Macaca fascicularis: one gene and its partners. The protein of the gene in region 3 purifies or fractionates together with the protein of the main gene of each other region. This does not show direct contact. Links are inferred from orthologs where the notes say so. Each region holds a gene or a part of one and is shown on either strand. Other genes may lie near its edges. The genes, in order: E2F3, KDM5B and RB1.

What was found.
Region 1: the proteins of RB1 (region 3) and E2F3 purify together in Homo sapiens (affinity purification with western blotting; 9 studies listed by BioGRID and IntAct, with this or other methods). This does not show direct contact. The link is inferred for Macaca fascicularis from reciprocal best matches to the Homo sapiens genes RB1 and E2F3.
Region 2: the proteins of RB1 (region 3) and KDM5B purify together in Homo sapiens (affinity purification with western blotting; 3 studies listed by BioGRID). This does not show direct contact. The link is inferred for Macaca fascicularis from reciprocal best matches to the Homo sapiens genes RB1 and KDM5B.

The regions. Positions count from the first base shown.
Region 1 is NC_088378.1:152,463,026-152,466,779, forward strand, and holds the end of E2F3 (transcription factor E2F3), read right to left. Parts: intron 3,628-3,754; coding exon 3,365-3,627; 3' UTR 70-3,364; downstream 1-69.
Region 2 is NC_088375.1:60,485,962-60,489,615, forward strand, and holds part of KDM5B (lysine-specific demethylase 5B), read right to left. Parts: intron 1,021-3,654; coding exon 841-1,020; intron 213-840; coding exon 54-212; intron 1-53. UniProt on the Homo sapiens protein: Histone demethylase that demethylates 'Lys-4' of histone H3, thereby playing a central role in histone code. Does not demethylate histone H3 'Lys-9' or H3 'Lys-27'. Demethylates trimethylated, dimethylated and monomethylated H3 'Lys-4'.
Region 3 is NC_088391.1:27,597,498-27,601,151, reverse strand, and holds part of RB1 (retinoblastoma-associated protein), read right to left. Parts: intron 3,542-3,654; coding exon 3,428-3,541; intron 3,335-3,427; coding exon 3,171-3,334; intron 1,558-3,170; exon of another isoform or gene 1,427-1,557; intron 1,245-1,426; coding exon 1,214-1,244; intron 704-1,213; exon of another isoform or gene 1-703. UniProt on the Homo sapiens protein: Tumor suppressor that is a key regulator of the G1/S transition of the cell cycle. The hypophosphorylated form binds transcription regulators of the E2F family, preventing transcription of E2F-responsive genes.

The DNA of each region.
Region 1 (3,754 bases), on a different chromosome or scaffold from region 3:
AAAAGGAAAAAAAATTAAATTAATAGAGGAGCATAATATAATATTAAAGAAAACCCATCCACAAGCCTGAACTCTTAAAAAAAAATCATTTTATTGATCCTTTACCATACAAAATTTATTCAAATTACACCCATTTGAAGTGGTAAGATCACAGCTAGAGAACAGGTCACCCTGTAACAAATCTATTTACAAAATCCATCATAAAAGCTTTTTTTTGTGGTTGTTTTTTACATTATATTACATATTTTCTTTTTTAAACTAGCATACAACACAAAGCTAAACTGATTCGTAGTTTGCCTACTCCCAATTTTGGGAGAAATACTTCCTTTTTACAAAATCACGTACCCCGTAGGAAGAGAAATTCCCACACCCTGACAATTGCCACCCGACTTACTCTGCAAGCCATCTTCCTTCAAATCCCTCCTTCTCATACACACGAGTTGTCATGCACACACTGAATTCTTATTTTCTTTTTCCTGAAAGCTTAAGCTTTAAATACTGCAATTTTATTTACAGATCTACACGTACAACAAAAAAGAAAACAAGAACCACAACAAAGAACAGAAAAAACAACAAAACGAAATAACACTCTTAAAAAATTACAAACCAGCTAGAAAGTATTCTGGCAGTGTTTACAAATTAATTGCTATTTTTGTACAAAATTGCTAAATAATGAAAATGTGAGTAGACTACATATCCACTTAAATAAAACGATTGCTATGCACAACTCTGTACATATAAACACATACCTAACACTGTTTGACAGCTCATGTGTTGCCCTTTATACATTTTATTTTCTAAGGCTCACGCAGTCATAATTCGCACACTTGTAACTTTTAGCCATTTCGTGTGTGAGCTTTAATAGCAGCAACTCAATGGTACCAGGAAACCTGCATACTTAGTACTTAAAGTAACGCAAATACTGTAGTACTAACCCACTTTGTGTGCCGGATACTAAGTCAAAAAGAAAAGTACTTAATGCAAACAAAATACAGTATGGACATCTAATTAATGTACACCAGTTAAGCCCAGTAACTGGAAAAAAAATCTTATGCATGAAGGAACTTTTAAGACTTATTAGTATTCCTTTCATTTTTAAAACAATAAATACGGCATTACATTATGAAAAATTTCAACAAAACACACAACAATCTAGCCAGGTGAGCTCAGTCTTTAGACTTTGGAAAAAATCAGCTTTGTGCAGCTGGCAAAGAGAATTACACAAAGCTGGAAGCAGAGGCAGCTAACCAGATGAGATAAATATGGGAAATGGGGAAAAGCTTGGCATAAATGGTTTCCCATACAGGAAAAAACCCCACAGTGCATTTCCAGTAGGCACTTGACACAAAGCTCCCTCTCCCTCCCCCACCCCAATGCTTCATCTAGGACCACACCGACATTTTGTACCAAGTCCAGTGTGTGTGAGGGGAGGAGGCCAGGGATGGAGGCTGAAGAAGAAAAAAGGAAGATAGTCTGCACCTTTGTTTTTCTTCCCAAACATACACCCACGCATACCCACACAAAGAGTTTAAAGTGCTGGTGTCATCTGTCTTGACCCCACCACCACTTTGCATATTGTGGAAATCTACCTGGAGTAAACTGGCTGGGGCTCTTGTGGTTTTTTGTTTGTGTTTTTAAAATTTTTTCCTAAGGGATATTTTCAATTCAATTAAACATATGAGTTGAGTGCCTACTATGTGCCTACCATTGGGTCAGGCACATAGCATTTCAATTTAACTGTTCGTTTTGAGGTTTGTTCTTGATCTGACTCCCTCATTCCCGCAGTCCTTAGCATCCAAGGAATGGACCGGAGATACTACGCCATATTCCCAGGGGGAGATGGCCACTGCCACTTGCCCGAGGGAAGGCCATTCTTGGACACAACTGGTAGGATTTGCAGCTGACACAAAGCCTCCAACTTGGGACACCATTCCTGAAGAGTAAAGCGGGAGACGCCCTGGCATTGTTTTGCTTCATTTTCTACGTCCCCGACTTCCCTTGGTCCAACTGATTCCTTCATAGAGGAAGGGGAACAGGGTCTGGCCAGAACTATTCCAGCCCCCGACACAGGGCTGCTCCCTGTTCCTGCCAGCTTAAGGAAATGCCACTCACACAATGGGGATGTCTTTCTCCCTAGAGGTCTCTCCATCTGACCCCATCCTGAGAAGTGGTCTCCCTGAGTGCGGTGTAAGAGAGCCCTTTCCCCCGTCACAGGGGCCCGGGAAGCCCAAGGATGGAGGGACCCATGCTTGCTGCTCCTTGGGGCTGTTACGTCATCTGACATGGTTCTCCTTTCCAACGGGCCGCCCATGTCAGCAACCCCCAGGACTGACTCGCTCCAAGCTCCCCCTCCTGGGAATGGAAGCACGATGGGACAAAGCTCCTTGCAGAGGCTGATAAACCTTAGATCACACAGGTTTAGATGCTCGATCAGTAGAGGTTCTCTCCCTCTGCTTAAGTAATGTGAATTTGCAAAAACCGCTTCAAAGTAAACAATTAAATTGAAATGGTGATGGGTGCCACAGGAATGCTTAAATGGCAGCTAAAACAATAAAAAGTCTAAAACAATCCACAAAGAACTAAGTAGGCATTTGCTACAAATCAACTGGAAACTCACAAACACATTGGGGACAGGGGAATGGGAGTGGTTCATGGAGACAGGAAAATCCACAACAGCTTAGAGTGGCAGAACTCTACTAGTCTTCTGTATCTGCAACAAGTATATTTGAAAACAGGTTCTTCATCCAGAAGGCTGTGGAGGTTTTCTTGACCTCCTACTGGGACACACAGTTCATAGCTTAAACTGAATTATGACAGTAATTTAAATATTCCTAAGAAGAGCTGAAGAAATCCATTTCATACTTTTGCATGACTTCAAGTTTGCATTTGCTGCAGTTCCATTCCATATTAGCAGACCCCAAAGACATGCATTCTGCGGAGAAGGCACGGCTTGAAATGCTATTAAGGAAGATTGCTGTTTCCCAGCGGGCCAGGTGGCCAGACCCCATTCTACAGCCCATCCGTCAGGCACAGCAAGCCAATCCGGGGAGGAAGGAGGAAGGAAAAGTCGGGGTGAGAGACACCTGATTGCACATTTTCTCACTTGCTGACTTAGCCAGGAGATCTTGGAGCCTGGAGTAAAGCAGGGCTTTCCCAAGGGAGCCTGCAACTGTGCGTTTAGACAATTTGTTTATTAATTTTTTAAAAAATTCATTAAAATGTCAGCTTTCTTCTGAAGTTTGTAGTTTACTTCATGATACTCTCTTGGAGGAAGAAGGTAGGAAGGGACAACAGTGCATGACAGATGTTCTGGTTCCATGATAAAAAAATATCGGTTTTTAAGGAGAGTTCACACGAAGCATAATCAACTACACATGAAGTCTTCCACCAGTGGGAGCTTTTCCAAATCGTAAGCATCAAAGAGATCGCTGATGCCTTCCTCCTCCCCGAGGCTCAGGAGATAGTCCTCTTGCAGCAGGGGAGGCAGTAAGTTCACAAACGGTCCTTCTAGGTTGGAAGGAATTTGGTCCTCAGTCTGCTGTAAGAGGTTGGCTGGGGAGGCCAGAGGAGAAAGGTTTCCCATAGAAATCGAGCAATCGCTATGTCCTGAGTTGGTTGAAGCCAAGTCTGAAAGGAAAACATGGGCGGAAACAAAAAATAAGTTAGAAAAATCAAATGAATTTTTCTGGAAGAATGTATATGTTGCTGTTAGAAGAAAGCATGCGCCTTCTGCTAATAATGACAATGAGATGAC
Region 2 (3,654 bases), on a different chromosome or scaffold from region 3:
GAAATTATTCTTCCCAATAACACAGAAAGGAGAAGAAAAAAACCCCTACATACAGCTGAAGCAGTCTCTTTGCTTTCAGTTAAAGCTCTCTCCAGGTCACTCAGACTCTCTAATTTGGTGCTTTTTTTCTTTCCATTTGGCAAGGGCTCCTTTAACTTTCTCTGTTTCCTTTTCAATCCCAAAAGGCCAATATCACATCGAGGACACAGCACCTAATGTGGGACAAAGCACAAGGAACGGTAAAATAAATTTCAGATAAAGCATTAAGTAGGAAGTCCCAAAATAAAAGCCTAAGCAGTAAAAAGGATGTGCATTTCTTAGTATTGAAGATTTTCTTTGGAACGTGCAACCCTCAGACTCTCCTTTACAAAAGGAGGAGGAAGACTCTTATGAGATTGACTGATTCCTGATTCAATTAACTAACAAGTAAAAAATGTGATATATACCAACTGATCCCAGTCATGATGCACAAGCAACAGTTTACAGAAAATACAAAAAGTGCAGTTAAAGCACTTTTAAAAGATGGGGGAGATCATTTATCAGGCTTACGAAATTCAGGTGGGTAAAACATGGCCAAGTTTAAGAGTCCAATTTCAACACAGAGGAATTTCACCCAGTAGGAAAAAATTTTCTTCTTTAAGATACTGTTATCCTAAATGAACCAAGAAAACATTTAAAGGTTGCTTCACCAGAAGATTAGAAGAATCTCCCTGGCTTTTCTGGAAGAACAACTCACAGAATATAGATTAATCTGTGATGTCATCTTTGCATGTGATGAACTGCATGTTTTACCAAACTAGGAGATCTAAGGTCTTGCAGATGAGCTGGTTGTAAACTTACCTCTAAGAGAGAATATGGAGAATTCTCAGTCAAGAATGTATTAACAGCACATTCTTTCCAAGCCTGAACCTCAGCTACTAGGGATTCCAGTCTTGGCAAAGAATTCAGATGTACCGGGATAGATCGGCCTCGTGTAACAAGTTCTATGAGTGTGTCTAACACTGGCACACGTCCTCCAGCCTAATAAATCAAGGAAAATTACAGCAGTTTAGAAAAAAGAACACTTCTATGAAAAACAGGAAAAGCATAAATCAGATTGGTTCACTGAGTACTTCAGATTACTCCAAGATCTCAACATGCTAAATTCACAAACAACATGCTAAATTCACAAATGTCAACCTGCCAGCTGACCAATAATGTTGGGGGTAGAAGTGACACTTAGAGAACCTAGTTTGGTCTTTTGTTGTTGGTGGTGTTTTTTTATTTTCTTTTTTTTTTCTTTTTTCTTCTTTTTTAAGACAGAGTATCACTCTTGCCCAGGCTGGAATGCAGTGGTGCAATCTCAGCTCACTGCAACCTCTACCTCCTGGGTTCAAGCAATTCTCCCACCTCGGCCTCCCAAACTGCTGGGATTATAGTGAGCCACTGTGCCGGGCCTAGAGAACCTAGTATATGCTAGACTCTAAGGATACAAATGTGAACATGGCATATACTGTGGTCCCTTTGTTCTATTTATACCCTTCTAAATTCACTCATCACATTGATCCCTACTGATAGTTTGAAAAAAATTTCAGCAGAAATGAAGGTTTGTAGAAACTCAAGACTTTCATACAGAATTATACAAATAAAAAGTAACAAAACAATATTTTACCCCAATCCACTCACCAATGATTAATTAAAGCGACTCAATATAAATTATTCAGGAAACTAAAATAAAAGTTGAGACAGCCCAGTGGTTCTCAAACTTTAGCATACATAAGAATCATCTGGAAGGCTTGTTTAAACAGTTTCCTTAGTCCTATCCCCAAATATTCTAATTCAGTGGGTCAGAGAAAGGTCCATAAATTTGCACTTCTAACAAGTTCCCAGGTGAAGCTACTGTTGCCAATGCTACTACTGCTGGTCTGGGAACTGTATTTTTAGAAAAAGATAGCCAAACTAGAAGGAGAGTAAAAGCATTAGGTTATGGAGGATGAAATGCATTGGTGTTGCTCTAATACAATGTAAAACTTAGCATCACTGATGTCAGGTCATCCAGATATGTCTCCTGTTGTGATGCAATACAGAATATACAGTATTACCTGACATTTTAATGCATTATATTAAAAAATGTTTAACTTGGATGCACCAGGGTTTTAAAACTAACTTCCAATTTATAGAAAATACAGAGAATAGAACACTCCACAAAGAAACAACCAAACAAATCCAGAAGGTGGAGTATACCACAGGATAACTGTCTAGTCAGTGACATGAGAAAAACTGGGGTAGGGAGGAAAACGCTACAAGATCAAAAGAAACTTAAAGAGATGCCAATTAGGTGCAATGTGTGTTCCTGGGTTAGACAAACAGCCATAAGGGACATTTTTGGGACAACTAGGGAAGACTGGGTAGGTTATTTTGCTGCCTTTGATATTTATTCTTAGAGGATTAAAACTGTTAGGGCATAAATGTTCTGATGGACACTTAAGAACGTGACTCATAAATTAATGCTATTCCTATGGTATTTAATTTAGAAATCCGAGTGCTTCCTATGTGTAAAGCAGAATACTGCCTAACATTTTAAAATAAATAATCCACTAAATAGAAAATAGTTCCTTGTTGTTAGTCATGTCTATTAGTCCTTAAATATATGATTCAAAAAAAAGGTAGGCTACTTTTTCAGGAATGAAGCAAAACTTGCCTTTTGCCCTTAATGGCACTGTTACAAACATAGTAAAAGTAGCATATACATATAAAATATGAAGGAAATAAACTCATCCAGAAGCATGCCCTTGCTTTCTGATTTTATATGCCAGCCTCTCCTTATTGCCATGAGCTCACCTTCTGGCTGCTAGCAATCATGGAGTAAAAAGGAGGACCATGACTAAAACTAATTACTACAGTACCAACTATCATTGACAAGTGCCTACATCTAAAACTCTCATTAACGAAGTTTACATCCATAGTAAATACTTTGTTTTTTTTTGTTTTTGTTTTGGCTTGCTGGAGTCAGTCCTTAATTATGTAATCTCCTCAAACAATATATCTTCTTTTCCCTATTAACAAGAACAGATGCCCAGATGCAAACATTTGTCTAGAATTGTCCTGTTTGGTACTTCTTGTTAGCAACTAGCCAATTAGCACCACTTAAAATTACACAAATATTCAGAAAGCCAGATAGTATTTTTATTTCTAGAATTTGAGGACTTCAACAAAACAGAACCTGAGACTTTTTTTTCTCAATAGGTCAGTAACACCTATTAGTTTATGATGATAAGAGATAAGGGAAGACATCCCCCATCAAACACTTTTCAAATTAAGTCATTCAGTCAGTCGTCTGAAAACTGGGAAAATCATATTAAATAATGCATTCTTTTTGTACCTTAACAATGCTACAAGTGAACTTAATTATTTTTTTAAACTTATATACAGGTCAAAAAGTATGACATCTAGCATAAAACCACAAATACTTGGTGGAAATGACTTTGGATACTTTGGATAATTACTTTGGAACTGGGTAGGTTTTTATTTCTTTTTAGGGTTGGGAGGGTACTTTGAAGTCACTACTTCATGAAAATTCTGGGCCTTGGGGCTTAGTTTGGGCATTTAGTCATATAACTAGATTTGTTGAATCTGCTATTACTGATTGTCAGAACTTCAAAGTTGTGGACAAGC
Region 3 (3,654 bases):
GCATATGTATGGAAGGAGACCAGTAGGCAGGGACAGGCTGGTGACATTTGGATATCGGGTTTACATTTTGGAGTATCTCATTTCAAATCACACTCATAATGAGTGAATTTCAAAACTGTTTTATAAAATTCCTGTGAGGTTATGTACATACATACATGGTATCATAGAGAGATATTTGTTCTTTGTCCCCGGTTCCTGGAACAGAGCTCCTAAAACCCTTCGAATTTCCTGAGTGATAAGGGTAATGGGACCCTCTTTTGTTCTAATGAGGTGATACTTAGTGCATACCTAGCTAATTTAGGATGAAGCTGGTTGCCAGAAAGACCAGGTCTTGAGCAGAAGCTTGGAACTTTCAGCCCCACCCTCTATCCAGGGATGGGAGGGGGTTGGAGATTGAGTTAACCAATTATGCCTACATAATGAAACCCCTATAAAAACCCCTCAACAATAAGGTTGGGAGACCTTTGGAGTTGGTAAACATGTCTAAGTGCTAGGAAGGTGGTGCACCCCAACTCCCCAGGGACAGAAGCCCCTGTGCTAGGGACTCTTCTGGACCTCACCCTATATAATACTTCTTCATCTGGCTGTTCATTTGTATCTTTTATGATGAACTGATAATAGTAAGTAAAATATTTTCCAGAGTTTTGTGAGTAGTTCTGGCAATGGATCAAACCTGTAAGGAAGAGGCACTACTGGAACCCCCCAACTTTGTATCCAAGTCAGAAGGAAGTATGGTGTAGCCTGGGGACCTGACACTTGTGACTGGTGTCTGCAGTGAGACCAGTTTTGTGGGACTGAGCCTTGAACCTGTGGAGTCTGATGCTGACTCTGAGTAATTAGTGTCAGAATCGAATTGAATTGTAGAACACCAGAGAGTTGAAGATTTGTGTGAGAAAAAAATCTTACACATTTGGTGACAGAAGTGTTATGAGCAAAAACAGCTCACGTATATATGTATGTATATACACAAATGTATATATGTATTATATAACCTCAAATGAATATTTAGAAAAGTTTTGAAGTTCACCAATTAGGAGTATGATTTGAGATTAGGAGTATTTTTTTTATATATATATATATCATAAATTTCTATGCAATATGCCTGGATGAGGTGTTTGAATAATTACATTTAGAAACTCGAATTATTGAAAGCTTTAATTTCTTTTATACTTACAATGCATACTATTATATTTCATAGAAAGAAAATACTCACCCCAAATGATTCACCAATTGATACTAAGATTCTGTCAAGTTAAGATGAAATGCCAATTAGTAATAAAAAATCATATACAATTTTGCAGAGACGAGCATAGATACATCATTCTGAACTATTAGGAATACTAAATTAAAGGTTACCTCTACCCTAGAACTACTGACAAACTATATTCATTTGGGAATTATTGTAACAGTGCCCATTTAATCATATACTCACCTAGTCTCTTAGTTTTACAGCAAAAGTTATAAGTCTGCAAGAACATATTCTGCTATTGCCCATATTTAGGGAGGGCAAAGGAAAGTTTCAAGTTTACCCCTACTGAGTTCTTCGTAAATCAATGGGTAAGTTATCAAATTTCTTTCATATTTTCTCATTTAAAATTCAAGTAATATTTGGAAAAAACTTACAATATTAAGTAATAATCAGACTTCTAATTAGCCTCTATACTGATATAGTAAAGGCTATCATATATCATATATGGAGTCAGAAATCTTTATTAGTCTGTCTTTATTTGAACCATATAATTTATGTTCTTGATAATAAATCTGAAGAACATCATTAGACTGACATGACTCAACAAAGATTTGAAAACATGAACATGGAACTAGTGAATATAGAGAATTTTTTGTCCTCTAATTCCTTGATAAGTGGCCATCATTCTACATATAATATTTGATTAACCAGAACACCTAAATGTACCAGGTAGTGTTAAGATGCTCTCCTAATGCCTGGTCAATGATTTATTAGTTAGGAGGTTCAGAATGTGACTTTCTTGCTAAAGAATACCAACACAGAATTTATTTCACTAAGGATCAGCAAGTAGCCATCATTATCACCATAATATGGACTAATTATCACTATTAAAGAAAACTACCTAAGTATACATTTTCATATAGTGGCATGGAACAATGTAAATTTTCTTAAATAGACATGACGTGGCATCTTAGCAGCTTAGAACAAGTAGTAGGTATCAGTACACAGATATCCAACTACAAGAACACCAAATAAATAAAGGATGATACAGAGGCACATGAGAGCATTTGTATCATATTGCCAATTATTTCTCACTTCATATTTTTCTGTAGAGTTTGAAATTTTTATAATGAGTACGTACTACTTAAATAATTAAATATACCATGCAAATGTTTTCTGAAAGGCCAACATATTCCCCTTTTCTTGCCCATTAGGTACAACCATATGGGCTGATAATTTCTGAGATGAGACTACATTAACTATACTAGCTAATCTGCCTCCTACTTTACACAAATAAAGTCAGTTTCAAATAGCCCGTGATAACATATAATTAGTCAATTGAAGCACTTCAAAGCCAGAGAGCACTTGTGGTTGGATGTGGAAGATAATATAATGATTTGTAGTTGCACACAACCTTTCATCTGAGCATTTAAAACAGCTTCATACTCATCATTTCCCTGATCCACAGCACCCTTGTGAAGTACAGATAGAGACCTGCCCAAGGTAAAGTGGTAAAGTGGCCGCCAGCAGGATTAGGGATGGACCTCTAAAGACTTAATTGACAGTAATCTACATTTAATATAACAAGCAAAATGAACAAAATCCACAGGAAGCAAAATTTACAGGACATCCAATAAACTACAAACTAAAAGTACTCAACCTAAAGTAACCTGCTTTGTTTAGCAGATTGGCTACTTAGAAAAATATGAAAGTGTTTTGAAACATATAACCAAACTGGTTCTCAAATTGTTTACAAAAGAAGATACCCTAACAGTCAGGAAATCTGATAAGTAAATGTGTAAACTCATCCAAGTAAATAGATTTTCTTTCTCTCCATATTCTTATTATGTTACTTAAATAAGCAAATAGAGTTTCAAGAGTCTAGCTTATTTGAAATGAAGAAAGCTTTATATTTTTTATTCTTGGATCAAAATAATCGCCCTCTCATTCTTTACTACTTCCATAAAGAGAAAACACACACCTTGATCTTGGAGTCATTTTCGTGGGTGTTGGCAGACCTTCTGAAATTTTATATGGACTCTTCAGGGGTGAAATATAGATGTTCCCTCCAGGAATCCGTAAGGGCGAACTAGGAAACTTGTAAGGACTTCGAGGAATGTGAGGTATTGGTGACAAGGTAGGGGGCTAGAGCAAAAACAGAAAAGTAGACCATTTATTTAATGTTTTGGTGGACCCATTACATTAGATTTTTCCAGTCAAAGGATACTTTCGACCTACCCTGGTGGAAGCATACTGCAAAATATTTGTTTTCAGTCTCTGCATGAAGACCGAGTTATAGAATACTATAATAGAATCATACTCCTCTTCTTTGATCAAAACACGTTTGAATGTCTGAGAAAGAACAGTAGAAAAAAAAAAAAGTAAAATTTACTTGTTAAATGAATTTTAAAATTTCTACCTTTAGATTTTCTTTTCTAATAGTTTATAATACTTTTTGACTGATA